Lonchura striata: one gene and its partner. The protein of the gene in region 1 interacts with the protein of each later gene in a biochemical or structural test. Links are inferred from orthologs where the notes say so. Each region holds a gene or a part of one and is shown on either strand. Other genes may lie near its edges.

Region 1 (7,079 bases):
AAAACACACTTTTTTTTTTTTTGTATGTTTTCATTTTTTCTCATGTTAGTGGTTAAGCTCAATGCACTGGAAAATATCTGATGCTTTAAGAGGCCACTTTCTTATTAATTCAGATATCTGTTTAAAAAGATGCTTCCTCTCTGAGGCCTTTCTGCAGCAGCTGGTAACAGGTACTGCCACAGGAACCAAGAGACAGGTATTTGCAGAGCCTCTCACATTATTCTACGTGTCTGTACTGTCAATGCAAGTCTCAACCTCACTTTTGGAAGTAGGAATTTTACACAGCCAGTTTAATAGCACTCACTGATCAAAGAAATTCCACATGCTATACTGCAATTTTTACTGGGGGTACATTTTGCAGTTGGAACTCAATAGGTAAATAAATACTAAGTCATAACAGGAGTCTCACATGAACATCCCTGGCACAATCCTGTCAGAACACAAAAAAATACTTTAAATGTCAAAATAATACAGAAGTCATCTTCTACAACTGTGTATCTTCCCCCAGCAAACCTCCTTCCCTTAGTTTGCATACCTTGCAAGAGCTACTCAGGAAGTTGACATACTGTTGCTGCAAACCCAACAGCAACAGACACCAGATTTTACTTTCTTCTAAAATATGCAGCTGATATTTCAGCAGCTGGCTTTAAAACTCTTCACCTTCCAGTTTCTCAAGGCTAGTTGCCACAAGTAAGTTTTCCAACTTGCTTTATCCCCTTTCCTGCTTTCATTTCTAATGTCTACTCATTATACACTAACTCTGGCTAAGATACTGAAAGAAGTCATTACCAGGAACAAGGCCACAACTTTCCAACACTGACTCTGAGCTGCCACTTGAAAGTTAAAATGGGCGACTTATTTCTAGCACAGAAGTAATACTGGAGCATTAGCAATTGTTCCTACTTAAGAGTTTTGTGTATCTTGTAAATATTAACTAATTTAAAATTATAAATCCCCTCAACCTCTAAAGCGCACAGATATTGCATAATATTGTAGCTAAGACCTATTTTTTTTTTTTTTAAAGTCACAATCCATCATGGCTCAAAACCTGTGGAAAGAGTAGCTTTGATTTTGACTATGAGACACTAAAGGCTACCCTAAGGTGAAGCTTTAGGAACTGGCAGGATCAGTGGAGGAGTTTTCAGGACAGACAGTGATGTTCAACACAGCCAAGTGCCTGTGGGCACATCACCTGATGCTGCACAGCTTCTTCAGCTGAGGGAAGGTTTGCTATGAATACACTTCCTCGATAATAGACACCTGTGGGTTCATTTATTTTACTGTCTGTCGTGTTCTCAGTCAACCATCCACACTTACAGACAAGTTCCTCATCAAGAAAAAAAATCTTAAAAACCTCTGACGACAGAGTCCTTCTCTACTTCAACATCCACACTAGAAGGCCTGTATAAGGCATTTACGTGGTTGTTGACTCTTGCAAGAGCTAAAAGGTTGCTTTCAAAGGGAAGAACAAGAAGACAAAAACCTTCACAAGTCTTCCTATAATCACAGATATAAATGCAATCAACAGCACAAACATTCAAACTTGTTATGCTGATTTGACAAAAATACAACACACTTCTAAACCTCATACAACACCTTCTAAACCATTCAGGCTTAATTTAGAACAACACAAAAAACTTGATCCGCCACCAAGCACTTTCTATTTACTTCAGCAGACATAGTTCAGAAATCAGAACAGAAAAAATCCTCACGAAATTTATTGTGACATTCAGCTTTTGCACCCAAACAAAACAATCAGGCACACACTGCCAAGAAACATCAGTGCAGCTTCAGGGCACCAGCAAGGGCTGCTACGTGCAGGGCTTCTCTTCAACACTTACGGGGCTCCTATCAGGGTGGAATTCTTGAACTCGCTAAAGCATTTATAGATTACATGCCTGTCCGGTTAAATACTTCCTGCAATTTTGTTAATTATACATCAAGCTCTGCAATTAGGGAATGACTCCCATCCTAGAAAACATCAGCTCTCAAGTTACACCTACCCCCCAGAATGTGTGTTTCTGTAGATGCCTCTGGTATGTATGCTATTATCCCAGACAATAAAATACTTTCAAAACTCGAATACAATGTGCAGTTCTATCGCTGGATGGTTTTCCTTTTCATTTTTCAGTGCTGTAGACCGTTTGTTTAGGTCAGTACGCATTTCTGTAGGTGGGGGAGGAGATGTCCGGGAGCAGACAAGTGCAACCCCAAGTTCAGGTTCCCTTTTCGTGTCCATCCCTTCCAGAGGCGGCCAAGCGCAGGCTTCGACACCAATGCCATCCTCCCTCCACACCGGCGTTACCCTCCGCTGACAGCAAAGCCATCAAAGCACGCTCGGCCTTTTCCTTCTTTCCCCCTTGATTCATCATCAAGATGTAAATTAAGAGATTCTCCCAGAGACAAAAAAAAAAAAAAACAAAAAAAAAAAAAACAAAAAAACCAAAAACCCCACCGAACAATGGGAAACACTTCCCCGCCGGTGCCCCACAGGACGGAGGGAAACAGGATCCGCTGCGCTGGGCGAGTTACTCAGTGGGGATCAGATGCTGCTAAAAATACGGGAGCGGAGCGAGCGGGCCCGGGCTAAGCCCGGGCAGGGCCCGCGGTCCCCGTCCCGGAGCGTCCCCGCGCCAGACGGTGCGGGGGACATCACACAGACGGTGATGTCACCGCCGGCGGCAACAAAGGACGCGGCACCGGCCGGGCGGCCCCTGCCCTCCGCCTCCCGCCCGCCCGGAGCGCCGGCACCGGCCGAGACAAAGCGGCTTCCCCCGCGCTACGTGCGGGCGGAAAGGGAGAGGTTCGGGCCGCCCAGCGCCGGAGCGGCGGCGGCGGCCCCCGGGGCGGCGCGCACCGGCCCCGGGCGAGCGGCGCCGCGACCCCCGGCCCCGCTGCCGCCCCCTCCCCTACCTGATATGGCGGCGGCGGCTCCTGATCCGGCTCAGCCCCGTCTCCGTAGCTAGCTCTGTCCGACTGGGACTCGTGCAGCAGCGAGATGTCATCCGAGGTGGGGGACTTGAGGCAGTTCCCCATCTTCCCGGGGGGAGCGCGGCCCCTCCTTCGCCTCCTCCCGCTCCGGATCCGCGCCCTCAGCCTCCCCGCCGCAGCGCGCAGCCCGCAGCCGCCCCGCCGGGGAGGCTCATGCCAGCCCCGGCCCTAAGCGGCTTAGCAGCTGCAGCCCGGCCGCCTCCCGCTCCGCTCCGCGGCCGCCCCGACCCCCGAGCCGGGGGGGGCGGCAGGACGGGCCTCCCACCCCCCGTGGGGCAGCGGGCTCCGGTGGGTCCGCCCGCGGCTGCCCGGCGCGGTTCTGCTTCCCGGTCACCGGCTCCCTGCGCACTGGGCTTTGTCGCACGGGCCGCCCTGGCTCCTCCTCTCACCCCTCCCCGCCCGGCCCCGGGAGCAGCCGCGGGGCCTCGCTGGGCTGCGCACCCCCCGGCCCCGCCGCGGGGACAGCCCTGCCCGCCCCCGGCGGGACGAGGCGGGACGGGACGGGCTGGGGAACCCAGCCGCCTGCCGGGCTCCCCCGGCCCCAAGATGGTGGGAGCCGCTTGGCCCCGCCCCCGAGCGCGGTGTTTGTTTGTGTTCCGGGCATGGCGGGGCCCGGCGCGGCGGGACGGGAGCGCAGCGGCGACCCCCGCGCCACCCGGCCCGCCCCGGCTGAGGCGCTTTGTGCGAGGCCCGGGGCCTGCCCAAGGCTCCCCAGGCAGGGAAGAGTTCCCCGTGCTGGTCGCTGGCGTGACCCCAGCGGCACGGTCAGTCTAGGCACAGGGCAGTGAGCCCCAGAGTGGAGCAAAATCAGCACTTGGCTTTTGCGTTTCTAAAGGGTTTTTTATGCGATGAGCAAGTACTCTAATGAGCCATATATTTATCTTCTCTTTTTTGCCTTCATAAAAATATATCCATACTTGGATATAAGTCTAGGTAAGTACTGATAAATGCAAATCTGAGGATACTGAATGCCCCCGTGTCACTGTGTTAGTGTGCCAGCACTAACCCACACAGCGTGGGATATGTGATGGTCCTGTTAGTGTTCTTTGGTTCCTCAAAATGCATCCTTGGCCTTCAGAGTCACATAATGGAAAATACTTTAAAATCCAATTTTTAAAGTGAAGTATTTTTTAAGGTGAAGCAAATACGGTGCAGATGAGAGCAGCTGCGAATTCCAGTCTGTAAAGCAGTACAGCGTGGCTGCAGTACCAAGTTGTCTGCTGATACAGCTTGGGCCTGCTTTGCAACTTCTTGGGTCAGAATATCTCCAGACATGCCATTCACAGTTATGTATTTGCCTCCACAACCTCTGCTGGTGGACCTCAGTCTGGGATCAGAGTTTTTGCTGATTATCCTTATGAGTTCATTCTTGTAGATTTCATTTTATTACTGTTTAGGGTAGTTTGTTTTGCTGCTTATCAAAGGGTAAGTTAAACAACCCTGGTGTAAAGCCTGTGATTGCTGCCATTTATGGTGTTCTAACACAGCTTCAGGCTTTTCAAGGAAACAGAAACTGAAAATCGGGCAGGATTTTTAGTGTTGCTCAAGATAGAGAGGCTTTGCAGTGGTGCATTGTAAATAATGACTGTGGTACATGGCTTGCTCATTTGGGTGTTTATCCTATGAGTCTGTTGGCTTGGTTTAATAGAATTAGGCAAGCAATTGTTGGAGGGGATCTAGTGAACCACTGCCTCACCCAGTCATGATTTTCAAGGTTAAGGCAATGTCAGAGCTGTCTGCTGTGAGAACCTGGTGATGAAACTCCAGCATTGTCACTGGTATTTTGAGTTGTGCACTGGCACCATTGGGAACAAGATGATGGGCAGCTAGAAGGACTGAGTTACTCAGCTGTTATCTTGTGTTTTGTTTTCTCTCTGAGGCTCAGGCCTGTGTCGTTGATGTAGTTCAGTGAAAACCACAGGTCACACTGTGCCATGGTGTGAGGCTGTGATCACAGTTTGATCCTCCACAGTGAGGAGGTCCTATGGAAACCTGTGGTGCCTCCCTGCTGGCTGACGTGCCAAAATAGCCTTTCTTTGGAAACCAGAGTGCAAACTGGTCTCATCCTGATATACAGTCAGGATGTAGGTGGGATTTCCTCTGCATCTCATGGTAGAGATGTTGCATTTATTTACCTTGTGGCCGATCTCCAGAAGGAATAGCTGCTAAGCCCAGTTAAAACTTTCCCCTTAGTAGGTACAGGATGCTCCAAATCTGGGCATGTTTTAAAAAATGCAGACTTGTCAAATGCCAGAAGAGACCTGCTTTTCACGGTGGATTCACAGAGACCAAAGAGGAAGCAGAGAGGTTCATGTTTGGCCTTGCAACAAGACAGACTGCACCTGTGAGAGCTCTGAAGGGGGAAGAGCTACTACCAGTCATGTCTGGACTCTTTCAAGTTGGGGTGGTTGAAGGCACTGCTTTTCCTGGCCATTCACTCCTGTTTTGCCAGATAGGTCATTAATAGTGGCTTTGAACCATCAGCTCAAAAGTTGTACAAAGGTCTGAGGATATGGAAAATGGAAACATTTTAGTGTTCACAAATGTCTTTTAATATCCCTGAATATGCTGAGATGTAGCTGTGAGCCTACTCCTTTTGCTACCACACTTTTTGCAGGTTGGGGACAAGGAAGTAGAGGGATGGATCCTCAGAAGATGTGATTTATGAGTGTGGTTTCTTTGCTTTAGCAGAACCATGGTGTAGTTTAACTGATTACTTCGGTTCTCTCTGGTTTTTACTTCCTCTACTAATTTTGGGGAACACGTAATAGTCAGAATGGATTTTCTAGAGCCTTAGAATGCTCCTGTAGAGGAAGAAAGATTCATGTCGTGGTTTAGGGCTGCACAAATACTACAGACAGAAAAGATCATGCAAATACAAAAATTTGTGTCAGACTAATATCAATACAGAACTGGCAAGGCAAGTCAATGAAACTTTTCCTCACATCTAGACATTTAAACAGTTGGCTGTAATCTGTTTTCAGAATGGTAATGGGGAAGTTCTGAAGTTTGCCAGCATACAGAATTAATGTTCTGGTACACCTCAATACAACAATGTCACACATGGGTCTGTCCTCACCACCTTGTGACAGCTAGCATCTTCTGAGTGAAATCTCTCTTTCAAAACAGAATGGAAATTCAAGAAAAAGAGTTTTAAACTATGCAGACAAAGTTTATGTTTTATTTTACAGGCTTTTGATATGAGAGGAGGCAAATGACATATTGACATATTCTTAAGGCTCATATGAGGTAGCCGGAGGTGATGAACTGTTCTACTGAAAAATCCATTTCCTTTTGAGTTCAAAATCTAAAATCCTCTGGAGACATAAAAAGTCCTTCTTGTTAGGAGTTCCTCTACAATATTGGCGTCATAAATTGCCTAATTTTTAGATGAAAGATCTTTTGATAACACCATTTTACGTGATCCATGTTCATGTTATTGTTGGATAACATTTTGGATATGTTTAATATGTCATGCTTAACAAAAGTTTTCGAAAGACCTTTTCTGTCCTCAGCATGGAAAAGTTTTTTCACTTCCTTTTCTTCCATCAAGCTTATTTTCCCAACACTTATCATCTCTCATTAGGTCTTATCTTTCTTCTGGGTAGGATTGTTTTCCCAATTCATACACAGAAGCCCAGTTGATTTCTGAGTGCAATCTTTCCATGCCATGCTACCCAGAGGTTCAGAGATAACTCTGTTTGCTTGGGTAATGTTGGTGAATAGAACACAATGCAATTTTAAAACCTTTTTCTGGAAGGAAAAAAAAAAAAAAAATACTTTGTATACCTCTGGAGAATGGAAGTAAATTACATTCTTCCATTATGTATGTGAATCTGATTATGAGGATGGTGGAATTAATTTATGTGGTTATAAAGAACATGGCATCTTCTAAAATGCACATGATTATTTTTAGTTTTGTTGATTTTAGCTGAACCATAGACATTTCTCAGTGTATGTTACAAATGCATATTGCTTTCTGAGACAGAGTGAATGCAGCACTAGAAAGCAATTATGGAACTAATATATTTCCCTGAAATGTACTTTGTGATGCAGGATTTTACTCATGTTTCTAAAAATTACTTAAA
Region 2 (7,947 bases), about 330 kb from region 1:
ACAATTTAATTGAATAAGTGCTATTTCCTTATGAAGTTTGTTGTAATAATCTAAAATGGGTGCCAGAGGGAAAGACAAAAAATTGAGATGTCCTTTAAGTCCAAAGCCCTTTCTCAAGCTCCCATAGAGGTTTAAAACAGATACAGACAGATCTCTTAGAGCCTCCAGGCCAGTGTTTGGCGTATGGACAGAAAAGCTATGGATGTTCAAGATTTAGCCAGCACAGACAGTAAAGAAGTTTTAACCCTTTCAAATGCATAACCTATTGAGTTTACTGTTGAAAAGGATTGTAATATTTTTTCCTTTTTTTCTTTTTCCTTTTTTTTTTTTTTTTTTTTTTTTTTTTTTTTTAACTCCTAAGGATACATGGCACATTTAAAATTTAAACTTGACAAAATAAGAATAGGTATTCAGCATGGAATGACTCTAAACTGACTCACACAATGAGATGGTGACCTAGCAGGCCTTTTTCCTTCCAAGAGATTAAGACCTATCTGGTGGAAAATGCATCATAGATTAATTAAGTGCCCATGTATTAGTGGCTTTATCGTATGACTCACTAATACTGAGCTAACCTTAATATAGGATTCTGAGAATCTTAAGCCAAGGATTTTATTGATTTACATTGTTCTAGTGCAGGTAGTACTTGAGTTTAATGGATGAAGACTGCACAGAATTTAGAAAAATCAAAGATTCAAGACTGATGAGGTAATCAAAACGTATTGAGACAGAAACCACCGGAGCTGGGCCAGTCTCTCAGCCACTAGAGGGCAAAGCCACAGCACTGCAGTCGGCAGCGCCGTCTGCTCGCCTCTTTCTAAGGATGTTATCAGCGAGGGCGTTTATTTTACAACAAAAACTGATTAAATGATCACTAAGCCCTTCACTACGAACGGCGTTAGGAATGAATACTTAGAGTATTGTTTCTGTCAAAGTGTGGCAGGCAAGCAGTTATTAGCAACTGCGCAGAAAAAAAGCCAACATTTTCTTCCATGGAACTGTGAATAAAAGCTTCAGTCACTCAAGAGGTTTGGACTCTTAGGCTCACAGCACAGCCCTTTCCTACTCGAGATTTTGCATATCAGTAGAAGGCTGAGCACTTTTATCAGGAACTATGTTGGGAAAGTAATTAACATTTTGCTGCAAAGTTTTCTAGTTTTTTGACGGTACCAGATCAGACTGAGATTTCGGAATGTTTCAATAACAGAGTTTGGATACATCAGAGCCTTACGTGCAATCCCCTACCCAAGTCAGCCTTTGACCTTCTAATATCAAGAATTCTTGTTCTCTCTACTGGTTCTTGCCCTCTCCTGTGCAATGCATGTTTCAAGCACCTATTCTCTGCTCACACTAAATTTCCCACTGCACTTTTCAGAGATCAGGTGTGGGTCAGCTTTGGGTGGACCTGAGAGACTGCTTTGCACAAGATCAATGTGCTGTCTGTGACAGTGGCCAGAAGCAGATGCTAGAGGAAGAGTTTAGTAGCAGGAAAATCATATAGGCACACATATCAGGAGTATCCTCCCAGCTTCCAGCAATGCATGTCTCAGGCTTCCTGAGTGAGAAAAGTTATCTTGGTATGCAATATGCTACAAAGGCTTTGCCTTCTGTGAACAAGTCCACCCTTCTCTTCAACCATTGTAAACACTGCCTTCCCCACGGCTGCTCCCATCATGTGCTGAACAGCACATGAGCTGTGTCAGATGATGCTGAAAGGGATGACAGGTTGTTACTTCTTAGTGCCCTAGGAAATCAACTTCTGCATAGACAAGCAGCCAGAATTCACAGCTATAGACACAGAGTTCTACCTCCCGGGGAGCAGACTTACAGGACTGAACTCCTGCTTCTGTTAAAATTAAGTTTTTACAACCTCCTGATTTTGACATTCCCAGTGCTGGGAAATCCAGCTTGTCCCATCCTAAACTGTCCTGGTTATTAATTACCTTCCCTGGTAGAAGACCTCACAGGAAGATGAATACATCTGCATACACTCACTGAATCTTGAAGGTCCTTAAAATGTGTGATTGAGTCACCCCTATATCTTCTTTATTGACACTGAAATAGGTTGAACCTTTTCATTTTCAGTCTAAATCATTCTTATTGATCTTCTCTGAACCATCTCTTTTTCAGCTTCTATTAAGGAATTAAGGAGTTTAGGTATCAGGAGCAGTTGGATTAGTACCAGAAAAATAAATAGAGATATCTTTCTATATTCTCCTGTTTATAAGCCCAAGGATTGCATTATCCTCTTGGCTACAGCATCACACCACCTGCTTATTTTCTCCTGATTATATGTGATGATTCTTGAGGTTTTTGAGCATTAACTTATAAAAGCACAAATTCTCTCATCCTAAAATCACTCCCTCTATTCCTTGATGCATGTTTTTACATTTGGCTGTACAGAAATGCACATTACTTGCTATCAAGCTGTCTCAGCTACTTTGCAGCATGACTTGTTATTTATTAATCCCTATTGCTTACAACACTTGCAAACTCTTTAAGTGATGATTTTATGTTTTTCTTAAAACTATTAATATCAATACAATGCAGTGTAGAACTAATTGCCATAGGATGCAGAAACACATTCTTTGATGATGGCTTTTTATTTTCCCATTTTGTAACTGTCAGTTAGTTAGAGTCTCAACAGTTCAATAAGTGCTGTGATGAGTCGGTAGCATTTTGGCTTCTTAATTAAAATGCTGCAAGTTACCAGAACAAAGATTTTGCAGACCTACTTACCTTCATCAACCAAACTTGTAATGCCATTTAAAAAATAAAATTATTTTCACAAGATTTATTTTCCACATTAATTTGTAGTTATTGTGTTTCCACTCTTTAATTCTTTTTCAATCAAGTAATGTAGATAATGTCCCATTTTATTACCCAGAATTCTTGTCAGTCTGGCAGGTTGTAATTACCTTGGTCACCTTGTTTACCCTTTAAAAATATTGGTACAATATTTCATCCAGTCCTCTGGAACTTTAACAGTGTTCCAAGATTTATTGAAAATCAACATTAATGGTCTAAAGATACTCTGTGCCAGTGCTTTTAAAACTGTTGGATGCAAGTTACCTGGACCTGCTGATAGCCAACTTCATTAGCTTCTGTTTAACATCCTCCTCAGTGCTTGTTGTAATGGAATGTATTTCATCATCATATGATATTTGTGTATCATATGGCTCTTCCCCAAAAAACAGACCAGGAATAGTTATTGAGTTCTTCTGCCTTTCCTACACTGTTGTTAACTGTTCCACTATTTCTGCCTAGGAACAGAGTGAAGACAGTATGAAACTTCCTTTTCTCCAGGTTTCTGCAAGTTTTACCACATAGTTTAAAAATCCTCTTATTTGTCCTTAACTCTGCAGTTCAAAGATTACTCTGGCATAATTTTGAATTCCCTGGAACTCCTAGATCCCAGAGTACACACATTGTTACATACATCTTTGTATTGACCCTGTAACTCTGTGCTACTCCCTGCAACCAGGGCACCTCAGAGGTTCCCTTCACCTTTCTAAGTGTGGACCTCTTTCCCCCTTTCCCATCCCCTGCCTTTTGCAAATTGGAGTATCCTCTTCTCTCCTTTATGCCTTTCTCATAAAGAGCTGGGAAAAATACTTGGGAAAAGAGGTGGCAAGCTCAATAGTAAGGTGTCCCGTGGGATAGTATCAGGCACCATTTCTTATGACAGTGCTGTGGAGGCCCACAGACATGGAAGAGCTGCAGATCCATTTTGGAGAGTTTGTAACTCGGACTCTTGTGCCAAGTGAAAGGTCATGGTCCATGGTCTTACAGCCTTGCTGTGGCTTGGGATTAAAATTATTCCTTTGGTTTGTTCACAGTGTTTCTCACTATCAATATTGAAATGTTTCTTCTTCTAGCAGAGGGAGCACATTGAGAACACAGGATGGGCAATTTCCCTGCTCTAAGCTCAGGTGTCTGGCACCACAACTGCCTGGAGCAGCTCCTGGAGTTTGTGGAGTTTGCTGCTTCTCTAGATACATCTTCATTAGGAACAAGTCATGAGGCATCCAAGCTACCCAGGGGGAATGGGGAATGAGACCATCACCTTAACTCACAGAAATTATTCCCATTGCTCCTAACTCCTGTTTTGCATGCTTTCATGCTTTGCCTTCTTGCAAAACAGCCAGTTATGATACCCTTCAGGAAAAACCTCTCTGTTTTTGGTGAGAAGATATCCCAGTAAATGGCTGTATCCAGAGGAATAAAAGCAGAAAAAAATTATGGTAGCAATATGCCTCCGTGAGGTAGATCACAGATGGCAAAGCTATGCACTTGCATGCATTTGGCCAGAGGTTATGGAGTGTTATGCCACTCACTCTTTAATTAATTTCCCTTTTTTTGTCAGGCATATTGTATGTTTATCAGTCTGAGGTGCTTCATGAGAACCATTTTGAGGACAGTAATGGTGTATTGCACCAATCTGAACCCCTCATCTGTGCTTCACAAGCATGACAACACTAATTGCTAAAGAGATAGCAAGTTGGGGTTAACCAGGAATGCTTTATGGGAGTAAATAAATTCCATCTCCATTAACATGCTACTTCCAGCTATGATGGATGAGCATTTTTTATCTCCTCAGCTATTTGCCCATGGATTGATGATTCAGTTGATTGGGAGTATCTCATATTTTTCGCTTGAAAAGCACATAGTTCCACCAGAATCAATGAATAAACATTAAGTGCCTCCCTTTCATTTCAAGCAGGATGGGCTGATGCTCTTGGAGCAAGGAGGCCTAGTTTTTATCACCGGGGCTCATTACACTGAGTTCACTGACATATGTGGCAAGTTTATGGAGAAGCCCAACCTGCTGGAAAGTGATGGGCTTCCTGTAAGTGTGAAGAAGAGGGAATGGCCCTGCAACTGCATTAGCAGCCAGCACACTCACCTTTCCCTCCTTCCTGGGCTGACATGGCACTGCTGCAGCCGGGGGATCACGGACCTGCACAAAGGTGAGGGGACAGCGACTCCTTCCCATTCCCCTGGCACCAAGCGAACCTTTCCTGAGGGGGAACCGAGGTGATGGTTTCCTGAGGCGAGGGGTGGGGTGTTCCTGAGGTGAGGGCTTCCTGAGGAGGGCGATGAGGGGTTCCTGAGGCGAGGGGCGAGGGTTCGTGAGGCGCTGGGCGCTCGCTCGCCCGGCTGAGGCTGAGGCGGCGGTGAGGGCGCGTTGTGCCGCTCCGCAGCCCGGCGCCGCTCCGCAGCCCGGAGCCGGCCCGCAGCCCGGAGCCGCTCCGCAGCCCGGAGCCGCTCCGCAGCCCGGCGCCGCTCCGCAGCCCGGAGCCGGCCCGCAGCCCGGCGCCGGCCGCTCGCCGCCCGCCCCGCGCCCGCCGGGCCGCGGCACACTCGGGGAGTGACATTTCCTGGAGTTCCGAGCGCCCGCAGCAGCGAAGAGTCCCGCTGCCGGCATGGGCGGCCGCCTCCTGTTGGAGAGAGAACGGGCGGGACTCCGGGCGCAGTGTCACGCTTTGGCACTGTCGGCTCGCTATATCGCGGCTCCTGTGGGGAGCGAGCGGGGTTGTTGGTTGTTGTGCGGTTGGTTGTTTTTGTTTTTTTTCTTTCTTTTTTAATTTGTTGTGTTTATATTTTTATTTTATTTTATTTTATTTTTATTTTATTTTTATTTTTTAATTTCTGGAAGCCTCTTTGCTGAGGACTGAACGTGTCTGCCAGCGGACGGCTCCGGGCCTCGCACCTCTCGGGGCAGCCGAGGGCGTCCCGCAGGATGGTGTCCCTCTCCGATTGTGGAGACACTCAACATGAAATGGCGAAATAACACATGTTCGGCTCCCAGCTGCGAGTTCTTCTGACCAGGTTTCGTGGAGCGATCACACTACACACATTGCAGCGGCTGCCCGGAGGCGCGTCCCTCGGTCCCTCGGCCGCAGGGCACCGGCAGCGCCCGGTAGCGGCGGTGGGTGCCCGGTGCCGCCTCGGCCTCTGTGCGTGTGTGTGGCTGTGTGGCTGCGGAAGCCGCGGCCTCGGCGAGTCCCCGCGGGGACAGAGCGGGCGGCTGCTCCCGCTGTGCGGCCGCTGCGGGGGTGCCGGTGAGGACCCCGGGCCCGGTGCGGAGGTGCGGGCGCGGACCCCGCGGCGCGGGGCGGGGGCGCGGCCGCTGCGCGCCGCCTCCCCGGCGGTGCCGCAGTGCCGTGCGCTGCCGCCGGGCCCGGGCAGGGGGCGCTGCTGCCGGGCGCTGCGGCGGCCTTGGCCGCGGAGGCAGCGAGCGAGCCCGGCTGGCGGCGGCGAGGGCGCGCCGGCCCCCAGCGCTCCCGGGCGGACCCGGGAGATCCCCCTCGCCATGCAGACCCGGCGGCGCCTGCTGCCTCTCGAGGTGAGTGAGCGGCGTCCGGCGCGTCTCCCGCGGGCCCGGAAGGCCGGGGTACCCCGCTCCCCAGGCCCCCCGCCGCCCGCAGCGAGGCCCCGCGGGCGGGCGGGCGGGGAGGGCTCCGGCGCATCGGTGGAGCCGCCGTATCGCCGACAGCGCCCTGGGCCTGCCGGCTCCGGGCGCCCCCTGCCCCGCCACCCTCGTCCTCGGCACGCCACCAAGGGGAAGGCAGCGGTCGCCCCCCAGCCCTCCCCGGCGGCCGCCGTGGTCCTTCGAGCCCTCTCCCCGCCGTTCCCCCTCCGTCCCCGGGCGTCCGGACTTGGTGACCCGCTCGCCCGGGGCACCTTTCTCCCCGCGCCGGCGATCCCGGGGATGGGGAAGGAGCTGCTGCTCCCCCCGGGACGCCTCGGGTGCCGGCGCGGGGCAGGGCGAGGTTGTGCCCGGGCAGCCGCGGCTGCCGGCCCGGGCAGGGGAGGATCCCTGTTTGCATCTCGTGCCCTTTTTATGGCCTGATCTCCGCTCTCTCCCCGGGCAGGGAATGTTACTTGCTCATCGCGATGTGTAACAAGTCACTCCTGCAATGGTGGTAGTGGTGGAGGGGGATGGGGAGAGCGGGCGGGATGCGTTTTATAACATCTCTAATTACGTGAAATTGTGGTCATGTCTCACTCTAAGAATAACTGGCACTCTTGGCATGTCAGACTTTTTGCAGAGGTAGGCTAGTTTCTTGCTCATAAATGTTATGGCTAAATATGTGCCTGTGGCAGAGTGTGGCTCAATAAATGTTTTTATCTTCTTAACCAGATAGAGAAGCAAGTAGCAGATAGAAATTGTTAGACTTTATGTTTTCTTGTAAACGATCTTCTTTATTTATAGACAGGATGTTCCTTATTATTTTATGACAGAGGTTTTTCAGAGGGTGGCATTTTTACACATATTTTCATTCCGTTCAGATATTAAAAGTTAACTGAGTTTCATCAATCTTCTATTAAGTGTCTCAGATTAGAATTTCTGAATAACCCTCTCTTCAGTTTTTGGGTCCAGACTGAACTCAAACCTGGAAGGAACCGTGTAAAAACAAATAAAATAGTAATAATGAAAAAGATGGTCTACCTGAATAAAAGCCTTTCTTTTCTTTGGGCAGCATTTAACTGACTAGGCAAGGCTTTAAAACATTGTGATTAACTTCTATTAGCAAATAATTTTTGATTGCATGGAACAAACTCAGATTTTAGATACACCTTCAGTGGCTGAAACATCCAAATCCTTTGTTACTGCTTGAACCTTCTGTGTGCTTTTTATAAAGTTACGGCATGTGATGCAAAATGAGAAGATCAGTCTCCTTGACCCAAGAGAGACAAATTTAAAAATCTCTTCAGAAGTTTGGGGAATCTGAAATGGAAGCTGAAGAAGGGTCTAAAATTTCAAACAAGCCTCCCCCTCTAATTGAAGCCCTGATCAGCCCTGAACAAGTTGCCATGTTCTGACACACTGTGATTTATTTGCATTGCTTTATGGTGCCTCCTTTAGTGTGTGAGAAAGGAAGAAACCCACCCCAAAACTGCCATGCTGACTCCTGATATTGGGTGTTATTTTTGTGTGTT

Evidence for each region.
Region 2: the proteins of RNF11 (region 1) and ZFYVE9 form a complex in vitro, tested with the Homo sapiens proteins (2 studies listed by BioGRID). The link is inferred for Lonchura striata from reciprocal best matches to the Homo sapiens genes RNF11 and ZFYVE9.

What each region holds. Positions count from the first base shown.
Region 1 is NC_134611.1:10,220,158-10,227,236, forward strand, and holds the start of RNF11 (RING finger protein 11), read right to left. Parts: upstream 3,267-7,079; 5' UTR 3,037-3,266; coding exon 2,914-3,036; intron 1-2,913. UniProt on the Homo sapiens protein: Essential component of a ubiquitin-editing protein complex, comprising also TNFAIP3, ITCH and TAX1BP1, that ensures the transient nature of inflammatory signaling pathways. Promotes the association of TNFAIP3 to RIPK1 after TNF stimulation.
Region 2 is NC_134611.1:9,886,226-9,894,172, reverse strand, and holds the start of ZFYVE9 (zinc finger FYVE domain-containing protein 9), read left to right. Parts: upstream 1-4,931; 5' UTR 4,932-4,970; intron 4,971-6,220; exon of another isoform or gene 6,221-6,349; intron 6,350-7,039; exon of another isoform or gene 7,040-7,057; intron 7,058-7,947. UniProt on the Homo sapiens protein: Early endosomal protein that functions to recruit SMAD2/SMAD3 to intracellular membranes and to the TGF-beta receptor.